Linked DNA regions of Kluyveromyces lactis. The protein of the gene in region 1 purifies or fractionates together with the protein of each later gene. This does not show direct contact. Links are inferred from orthologs where the notes say so. Each region holds a gene or a part of one and is shown in the gene's direction. Other genes may lie near its edges.

Region 1 (5,871 bases):
AAGGCTTGAAAGATGTGAACAATGTGGGGATTTTCTAGCCACACTATCAGTTTCGCTTTCTAAGGAATACCAACGTTAGTTGTTCTCGTTGCTAAACAATATACCTATTCTTCACAGATGACAGGTTTCACACATACACTAGACGAAATGGAGTTGATGCTTCTGTCGTTTACCAGTCGCCATCCTCAATTGTGCATAAAAACATTGGATTTTCAATTTTCAACTTTCGTTCAACCAAAAAATAAAGTTCAAAAACGAACAAGTAGAACCCATTGAAAAACCTTAGCGCAATAATCGTGTACAAAAGGAAACGGTTTCAAAATTTCAAAATATGCAGTATCGTATTTTTTCCCCAACAATCTTCATTTTCTCAAAAACTGATATTAAGATAAAATCTTCTGAGAAACAATTGGTTGAAAAGTAATAATAGAGGAGTAAGGCGGTTCCAGTAATTCTTTGTTTCCAATGTCAATCTCAACTTGTCAAAAAATAAACTCCAAAGAGGTTTTCATTATTAGTAATAGTTTAGTTTAGTTTATACATACATCTTTTCACGGACAAAAAAGTCTCTTTAAACTTTATAACCTCAAAATTAAAATCGTGAAGGGTAAAAAAATAGTATTACTAGGCAAATGCGTTCAATACAATTGACGCAATATCCAGATATTAATTGTCAGAGGGCTGATGACCTTTTAGTAATAGTTGTACTCAAAAAGGGACAGATTTAATTGTGTGAAACTCCTATTGTCAATATTAACAGGAAATCAGAATGAATATGATAGGATGAACAAATAAATATTCTCAATACAAGTTGTTGTTGTTGTTTGTTGTGTATATTGAGTAATTCAGTTTCAAACTAAAATTATTCCTTGGATATCTTTAAAATATCTTATCTCTTCTAGTTAGCCCTTTCTCTTGATGAGTTTCCACAGAGTACTGATCAATTGAAAGTGAGTCAAGAGGTTTCAGAAAGACAGAAAATACAATGTATAAAAACCTAAGAAGATTTAGAGAATTGATATAATTTAAATTCACGAAGTTTATTTAAACCCCTTTGCTTGAAAAAAATAGCAGGAAAACCTCTTCTTTATAAAAAGCCGCCGAGTGCATTTCACTTCATCTAGACAAAATTTCAACTAAACTAACAAAACAAACAAAAAGATGAGAAGAGAAAAAAAAAAAAAACTTGGTTCTATCCATTCTACATCCCAGTCTAGGCATTTCATCCAAACGATGTGGTGATTTCACCATACTTGAAATTTCATAGCACTATTTTTTTTTTGGGAAAGAAAAAGTTTGAAAACTTGTTGGGATCGTTGTTGGATTTTTGTTTTTCTGTAGAACATTTCATAAAGATCCCATAAGTTCATACTATCCGTGGTCGTTCAAGATGATTCATGTACCAACAATTTGGTACACGTCACGTTGACAGCAACGGTATGCAACAGAATTTAGGATAAGAAGTGTGTTATATCTGGGCAGATAATAGCAATTAACCGCAATGCGCTTGGTTTTAGACTGAAAGAACGTTTGGCGTTTTAAGGGAACAAATCTTTGAATGAAGGAAATGGAGTAGTTGTATTCGGTTGATATACAGCGGTTATTTATGTGAAAGCTGCAACGATTGGATTTTAGAATAGATTAGCGATAGATGAGGGTTTGAGATCACGTGACTTGCGGTTTCTTGTGGTTTGCGACTACAAGACGTCAGAAAAAAAAAAGCGGAAATAGTATAAACTGACTGACATGAGAGAAAGATAGTTAAGTTATAGACAAATTGTTACAACGGTATAGAAAAAAGCGTTAAGCATACAAGGGGTGAGCAGCTGTTGGAATGAAAATTTAGATTGATAGAAATCATTTCGCATTTTGTATTCCAGCTTCCTTAATTTTCTTCAATAGGAACTCGTCGTAACCGACTCTCATTTGGTTCACCTTCTTCAACTCGCAGTGGTGCAACTTCGTATCCTCTTTCTTAGTATTGTATAGATCAAATCCAAGCGTCACTGAGACTTCGGAGTCAATCTCCTCTAATATTCTGATCCATTTGTGTCGCAACAACACTTTTTCGGACTCGAACAAATCAAATTGGACTCTAGCACTACGTTCTGCCATTTTTTGTTTGTATTTCAATCACTGGGTGAAACTTTTCGTCATAAAGCGGGTTAACAGCTTGTGTTTTATCGTGTAATCACAGTGTAACAAATCATCAGAGAATGAAAATTGATGATTCTCTAAATTATTCATCGGAGTTTTTCTGAGGGGCAGACTGACATATGTTCCAGCGTCCTTTTCATGTAAAACTGCACTCTTTATATTAAATTTATGTTTATTCAAAAGTGTGAAGCCTTGAAATGCGTTAGTGCATGTATGCTACCTTAGTATCTGAAATGCTTTCACAAATTATCCCAGGCGATTTTAAAAAAAAACATTAGCGACAGTACATTGATATGAAAGGTTTATACGGATCCCTTTATATATATATACTGGTTTGAAAATGTATAATTTCAGAAAAGTCGTTTCCTAACAAATCCCCAATTTTCCTTTGTATTCTTTGTACGAATTTAAGGGCAATGCGCTCCTTTTTACAGATTTCTATCAATCTGCGTAGGTAAAGTTTCATCCAAAGATACCTCAGTTGATATCTGTTTGGAAACCCAGTGATAACTTTTGCAATGTCGTGTGAAATAACATTGTCTCATGGCGGGCGTCAGTTTTAAATATTTTTTTTGTCGCTAGAAATGCTAAATGAAATGACAAATTTTTTTCTCTCTGTTTACCCTTCGCTGCGCTCAAAACAGAGGTCAGCTACATCTGCAGAACGGTTCCGGTTACATGAATCATCATTTTGTACGATTCGTTGATTTTACCTTGAATGGTCTTGAAATCACAGAGTCTCTTGTGAAGCAAGAAGAAACAAGAGGAAGAAAAAAAAAACCGTAGTTCTTGAAATATTTTGAAATTTTGAAAAATTAGTGAAATATAATTTTACAATCGAAAAGTGTTTAAAGTAGTAGTATGATACGTTGAATCACCCTCGAAGGTTTGAGTTGTAGATACTAAGACAAAGACATCTTTTCCGTATTGGTATTTTGCTAGGTTACCATTGCATTTCAGTCTATCAAGGCAATACTCCGATAAATACAGGGCTTCATTATTGTCGAATACGGACCGGGTCTAATCTCTTCCTGATTTTTCATCCTTTGACCGATACCATATAAACTAAGGCTAATAATAATAATAATAAAGTATAGCTATGTCTTGGCTCTTCGGTGGTAAGAAGTCATCTACAGACTCACAAGAAAATACTACACCAGTTGAACAAAATGATGATAAACTGAAACAAACTCTAGGATTCGATCCATCATCAATTTCGAATGTGTCGAACGTTATTTCTGTTCCAGGAGGATTAAGTCCATCACAGCTTCACCCATTAGCAGGGCTAGAGCGTGGTGTTGAGTATATGGATTTGGAAGAAGAACAGCTTTCTTCAATGGAAGGTTCTCAAGGTTTGATTCCATCTAGAGGTTGGACAGACGATTTATGTTACGGTACTGGTGCTGTATACTTGGTTGGTTTAGGTCTTGGTGGTTCTTATGGGTTCATTGAAGGGTTGAAGAACATCCCACCTAACTCACCAGGTAAATTGCAATTGAATACAGTATTAAACCATATCACAAGAAGAGGTCCATTTTTGGGTAACAATGCTGGTGTGTTGGCCTTAACTTACAACTTGATCAACTCAGTGATCGATTCTTTCAGAGGTAAGCATGATGTTGCTGGCTCAGTGGCAGCTGGTGCTTTAACTGGTGCTATTTTCAGATCTTCTAGAGGATTGAAACCAATGGGTTACGCATCCGCTTTGATGGCTGCTGCTGCTGCAGGATGGTGCGGTATCAAGTCTGTAATCTTATAAGTTGAAAGAAAGAAAAGGATAAACCTGTGGATATATAAACACACGATAAACTTTTTTTTTCGTTTCCTTTCATTCTACACTACTATTACATTGGGTCTTAGAAATGGTTTGCATGAGGATCCTGTTTCAAATGTGAAATATGCCCCTAATGTCTCGTATTTACTGACCGCCCATTTCATCCAATTTTATCTTACGTTTGCATGTTGAATTCCCCTTTCGTATAATGTACAATATGATGACAATTTTAGCAAATTCATGCTATGTTCCACCACAGCACCATTCTCGCCATGCATGTTTTCCTACTCCATTACCATTTTCTACACCATTCTTGAGACTGTCGATATCTGAAATCAAGCATCAAAGAGTGAGCTAGAAATAAAGCAGCAGCTTGTTTAGAGATACATGGTCTTGTATATATTTTAATAAAGTCATCTTTCGTCAATATTTTTCTTTTCTATTATCTGCCTCTCCAGGCGGGCCTTGCTGGTACTCTAGCAATTATAACAAATTATAACAGCATTTGTGACGAACTTACAACGAAATGGTCTAACGAAGGAAGACACTTCATCACTAGTTTGCTCATAAATTAATATCATGTGAATAAAAGGGCATGTGTCTTCCTGAAACGAAACGAAACGAAACGAAACGATTTCTTGCTCTAAAACGAAAACAAAGTGTATATTATGTATGTCAATATATTAAGAATTGTTACTCACTTTTTTTAGGAACTTACTCAATCGTGGTTTAAGTATCTTTCTATCATGTGTTACTAGATTAATCATCTCGCCACTTGGCGGTTTCACTCGACTTGTAGCTTGCTTTAACTGATCCATGAATTTTATCTCATCAATCATCGGGTAAACTGCGTAAGCAAATTCATCATCCTCTTGATTGTTTCCTGTATAGAGAACCTTATTTGGAGTTCTTGGTCTTACAGCAATAGCTCTCTTCTTGAAAACACCTCTCGTAGCAGTCTTACTCAATATCTTTCTCACTTCAGCAGGGTCTGCACCTTGATCCAAATAGATGGCAGCTGCACCTGCTACTATTGGAGATGCCATTGATGTTCCACTCAATACAAAAGTGCCCCGGCCTTTATTGGAAAGGGATTTCACGTTGACACCAGGAGCCCATATATCAATACAAGCGCCCCAGTTTGAGAATGGTGCCATTAGATCGGTTCTATCGTCCATTGCAGCCACAGTAATTGCTTTCCTGACCTTAGCAGGACTGTACCAACATGCGTTCAATCCACTGTTTCCTCCAGCAACAACAACCACGACACCCTCTTCGATTACTGCTGAAACAGCTTTATCTAAAATCGAATGGGTTCCTGGTGCACCGAGACTCATGTTTATGACACATTTTCTCTTCTTTCCGATGCATTGGTTCACGACATATTCCAATCCTTCGATGATATTTGTGACAGTGCCTTTTCCCATGGAATCTAGGACCTTCACTTCAACAATATTAACTTTCTTGGCCACTCCATAAGTCTTGGAACCGATTAAACCTGCAACATGGGTACCATGTCCTACGAGATCTCCGGAGCCTTCTCCAGTAGTATCAATACCTTTCATAGCCCTTCCTTCGAAATCGGGATGGTCATGATTAACTCCACTATCAAGTACATAAACGAAAACCCCTTCACCCTGGTGTTCTTCATGGTAATGGTATTTCAATCCAGATGAGGTATCATCTTTCTCGATGACTGGTAACTGTGCTCTTCGAGAAATTCTTGCTAGATGTCTTGGAGCTCGAGATTGTGAGATGAAGTCATCGCTAAAATCGGTATCTCCATTGTCTGTATCCTCGTCGTAATTATCATCATCTTCATAAGTATCACTCCCCTCATCTTCTTCTGCCTCTTCCTCATCTTCAGTTTCGAAGTCATATTGATCATTGTTTAATCCTGAAGCGATTTGTGGGAACTCATCGAACAAACTAATCTTCAC
Region 2 (4,564 bases), on another chromosome or scaffold:
TGATTCCAGTTCTACATGAGCCTTATCGTCTCGTGGGATTTCGATCTCCTTGGTAGCCATTCTAAACCAGTATAAAGCTTGTACAGGGTCTCTTTTGATAACGATTTCACCAGATTTCGTTCTCAGTCCTTTCAAATAGAACATCCCGAGCTTGTACATGGATACAGAATGTCCATTGGTCAAAGCTGCCATTTCATAGTACTTCTGTGAAATCTTTAAAGCTTCGTATTCACTCACAGTTGTGTAATCTACTCCACGTCCGTACTCGTAGCTGACACTGGTCCGATACATGGCATCCTTATGACCCATATCGGCTGCTCTGCGATAGTAGTCTAGAGCTTTTGCATCATTCTTAGACACGATATCCATGGGCCTTGGAATATCTACGTAAGGGTGGTGGGAATAAAGTGTCCCTAATAGGTAGATCGCTGGTGAATAGTTTAACTGAGTTAGTTTCGTTAACACGCGTAACGCATGCTCTAAAATGGTCCTTTTATTCTGTAGCATTTCGGTCTCAGTTAAATCCCGTTTCAACTTTTCAGCATTGATATTGTATCTGATTAAGAAAGTGGGCTTGAACGCATATTGCAACAGTGTCTCGCACCATTTCAACTGGATATCCTTCGTAAACTTGTTTGCGTCCTTGACGGTTCTGTCATATGCTTCATAAAACGCGACAGCCTCGGAAGAGTAATTTGAAAGATCCCGTTCACTCTTAGCACTGCTAGGCGGGTTATCCACTTTGGGTATGCTGACTTGCTGCGCCGGTGGTGGTTGTCGTGATACTGGCGTCGTTACCGTTGACTGGGAGCTTTGTCTTGTATCTTTCTCATACATTTGGTATGGAATATTCGTATCTGCAACATGATTCTGGGGCAGATCATCAACCGGATATGGTGTATTCTTACTTGGCTCGTGACCTGGCGGGTACATGTTTATGTAGTTGCCATACGCGTTTCTTTGTCGGTTGTTATCCATTCTATTTCTCTCAAGAGAACGATTTACCAATGTCCTATCCTTTCTACGAATTTCTTCCGTGCAAACGCTTTCGAATCCAATACTACTTGCAGAGCAACTCACTTACCCACAGACTCAAGCTGATACCAGAGGGCAGTGTTTCCAGAAGCCTAGTTGAAATGCTTAACGGCCACTGTATTTTTGTTGCAACTCATCGTTTCAGATTAATTCAATTTACCATTATTTTACTGATTTTCAGAGTATCGGATTCTGTCGCCTTTTTTTCATTTCTACTGCGACAGTACATATGAATCGCAGAAAGCGACTTTTAAATATAGAACGGATAAATAAATGTACATATTGTGTCAGTTTAATATGTTCAAGACAAACTAGGAATGCATTTCCAGAGACTTGCTATAGTTTCACTGTTTAAAAAGTCACTTAGGTCAAGAATTTCCAAGTACCTTCTGATTTTATGATTAAATACTGACGCTTCCCAAATATTCCATATTTTTCAATTATTTTTCGGTTTGGAAAAAGTTGTGTCTGTAGGAAAACTGATTGACAAACTAAGATTATAAGATGAGATGATGCTAAAAGCGTTGACAAGTAAGCAGCAATTGAGATCTTCATTAAGCTAACCTAGGTAGCTGTCAAGTAATATAAACTCCCGTTGAATTGATATTTTAATATTCAGAGCGCAAACATGGTGTGGCCATTTTCTAAGAGTAAAACGCAAGAAGCAAGTACCGAGGTGGAAAGGAGTATATCAGAGGAACAGCAATTAACGAATTATGCTAAAGGACAGAAGTTTCTATTTGAGGATACAAAACCCAAATTCAATAATGAGTCCAGTAGTATGGCTGCTCGAGAGCAGGAACGTGCGTCTTTGAAAGAGGCATGGAATACGATAGACGTGAAAGATTTCAGTGTCGAAAAGGTACTGTCAATTCCATGTTTCAGAGACGCAGGGATCGGAGGGTTTACATCGATGTTTGTTGTCGGATCAGTGATGTTCTTGTACCATAAGAATCCTGCTCGTGCGGCAAATTGGGGTGTAGGAGGTTTCATACTTGGATCCATTGTAGGATGGGAGCAATGTCGCATGCGTCGTAGACGAAGCTTCCAAGTGGCAGCAATGGCCAAACAGACTGTTGCAGCAAAGGAGAAACCAATGCTGAAACAGGTTAAGAATATAGATACAGTCAAGAAGGAATGGGAAGAGGGCTCTAGAAACAGTAAACCTTGGTACAAATTTTGGTAGGTGCAAGACATGATATTGACTTACCACCACGTGACCTCGTATCTTTTTTACCCAACATAAGACGTCGTAGGCAATATTTTAGGCATGTAGAGTGAGAATGAATAATTCTTGATTCCTGGCACAATAGTACAGGACATCATTTAATGACATATACCGTTTATAATACCACTGCATACACCACTGCACATACCCCTGCAGACATTCCAATTTACCGCTAAAGAGCTGACTCGTTCTGACCGCAGATTGTCTTCGTATTGACAAATCAAGTGGTGAAAAATTTAGTAAGGCCTTAATAAAATGACTAACGAGAGCTATTTTGGACTAAGGTAATTTTTAAAAATTAATAATCGAAAGATCAGTGTTGAAATATCGGCTGGTATATATTTTAACATATATAAATGTGTGCATATCACTAACAGTCTCATCAATTACAATCAATGCGCTATCTTAATTTCACTGTTGTATTGAATGAATGCATTAATTAGATGATACGTTTGTAATGAAAGAAAGATATCAAGAATCAGAATCTTGAATATTCCTTTTATGAGTTGGTTCAATAATATATTCAGACAAAGTATAAAACCTGTAGCAATGTCATTATCACCAAGCACTGTTGGAGCCGCAACTCCCGTATTTTTCCTTTCCCATGGTGGTCCGACGTTCATGTATTCCGAAAAGGATAAGGACATCTTTGGGGGAGATTTTGGCGCTTTCCAAACTGTCGCAAATGTTGGCCAAACAATTATTCAGGATATCAAACCCAAATTTATTGTATACGTGAGTGCTCATTGGCAATCCAAAGCTGACAATCTAATTGAAGTTGCTGTCCCGAAAAGTTTACAACAAGGTTTACAAAACGAGTTGATTTATGATTTCTACGGATTCCCTGAGTACATGTACCACGAAACCTTCCGCTCAGAGAATGATTTGTCACTTGCTAAGGAGATAGTCAATACTATCAATCATTCAGAAACAGGTTTAAGGGCCAAATTGACGGAACGTGGCATTGATCATGGGGTGTGGGTCCCATTGAAAGTGGCATTTCCTAATGATGAGCTAGTGCAACATAATATTCCATTGGTGCAAGTTTCATTGACCCGTAACGATCTCGATTTTGATAGTCAATACAAATTGGGTCAAATTCTTTCAGAATATCGTTCTAAGGGTGGTATAGTTTTAACAAGTGGAATGAGTGTCCATAATTTACGTGATATGGGATCTGCTGGTAGCAAACATTACAGTGAAGAATTTACGTCAGTTCTCAACGATATCCTATTAACGAAGCAGCATAATAAACTGGATAAATTCAAGGCGTTTTTTACTGATGGTAAGAGTAAGGAGCTATTGTTTAAAGCTCATCCAACTTTGGATCATTTCGTGCCTATAATTGTAGCACTTGGCGCTGCGGAACCTACAGAAGACGATTTAAATGTTAAAGAATTGTACAACAAATGCCAAGGGAGCCTTGGATGGGGCATATACCAATTTGGTGATCTGTTATGACTCTGTTTTTTTTTATCATTTTATAGTGTTACAAAATTACATATATTTATTCCCAATTATGTCAAAAACATTCATCAATCATGATCCGCTTTACATTTTTGGATACCTCAATCACAAACTGGGAGAAATAATACTTGATTGATCGTCAATATTCAGTTCACTGGTAGATTTCATAACATCATCAGTCCCTAGTACAATATCCTTAGAATCCGAGTTATTTACTTCTTTGTTATTCGAAGCACTAGTTAATGGTAAAGAAAATGAGTTATCGAAATTATCATCCCCGTCGTCATTTTCTGCATCTTCAGAGTTATCAGTCCCAGATTCTGTCTGATTTTCGGAGTGGAAACTAGGGGAGTTGCTGTTGTTATGTTCATGAGCGGAGTTATCATCTTTATCTTTATTTTCATCTGTCGTTACCATCACTTTCGCTGGTGATTGCAATCGCCTAGATCCGTTTAGTAGAGACGCATCAGATGAGTGTGAACTATTTTTCTTAGGAGTGAGAGTACTCGACCGTGAATAACCTGGCGAAGATGCGCCAGATAGTTGGGAAAGTTCGTTGTCATCGTTTTCTTCTTCATTACCGGTATTGAAAGGATCATCAGCGTCTATTATCAAGTTATCTAATCCTCCACCGGACCAACCTTTTCTTGCAATATTTTCACTTATCTCAATCTGTGCTCTTGCCAATGTAGCTATATCTCTGAGAACTGCCTGACAAGTTGATTCTACCATTTCGTATGACTTTTGATAATAATCGTGTTTAAGCATTTCCAATTGATCCAACTGCTGTTGTAATAGGGACAAGTTATCACGATACGAAATCAAATTACGTAT

Evidence for each region.
Region 2: the proteins of TIM23 (region 1) and COX20 purify together in Saccharomyces cerevisiae (affinity purification with mass spectrometry; 3 studies listed by BioGRID). This does not show direct contact. The link is inferred for Kluyveromyces lactis from reciprocal best matches to the Saccharomyces cerevisiae genes TIM23 and COX20.

Annotation. Positions count from the first base shown.
Region 1 is NC_006042.1:576,957-582,827, reverse strand, and holds TIM23 (protein transporter TIM23), read left to right. Parts: upstream 1-3,256; coding exon 3,257-3,916; downstream 3,917-5,871. Other genes in the region: KLLA0_F06061g (uncharacterized protein), read right to left, coding at 1,858-2,115; RRT12 (Rrt12p), read right to left, coding at 4,615-5,871. UniProt on the Saccharomyces cerevisiae protein: Essential component of the TIM23 complex, a complex that mediates the translocation of transit peptide-containing proteins across the mitochondrial inner membrane.
Region 2 is NC_006039.1:1,305,710-1,310,273, reverse strand, and holds COX20 (Cox20p), read left to right. Parts: upstream 1-1,663; coding exon 1,664-2,221; downstream 2,222-4,564. Other genes in the region: ACK1 (Ack1p), read right to left, coding at 1-978; KLLA0_C14993g (DODA-type extradiol aromatic ring-opening family dioxygenase), read left to right, coding at 2,765-3,724; IVY1 (Ivy1p), read right to left, coding at 3,836-4,564. UniProt on the Saccharomyces cerevisiae protein: Involved in the assembly of the cytochrome oxidase complex. Required for the maturation and subsequent assembly of the mitochondrially encoded COX2, the precursor of subunit 2 of cytochrome oxidase.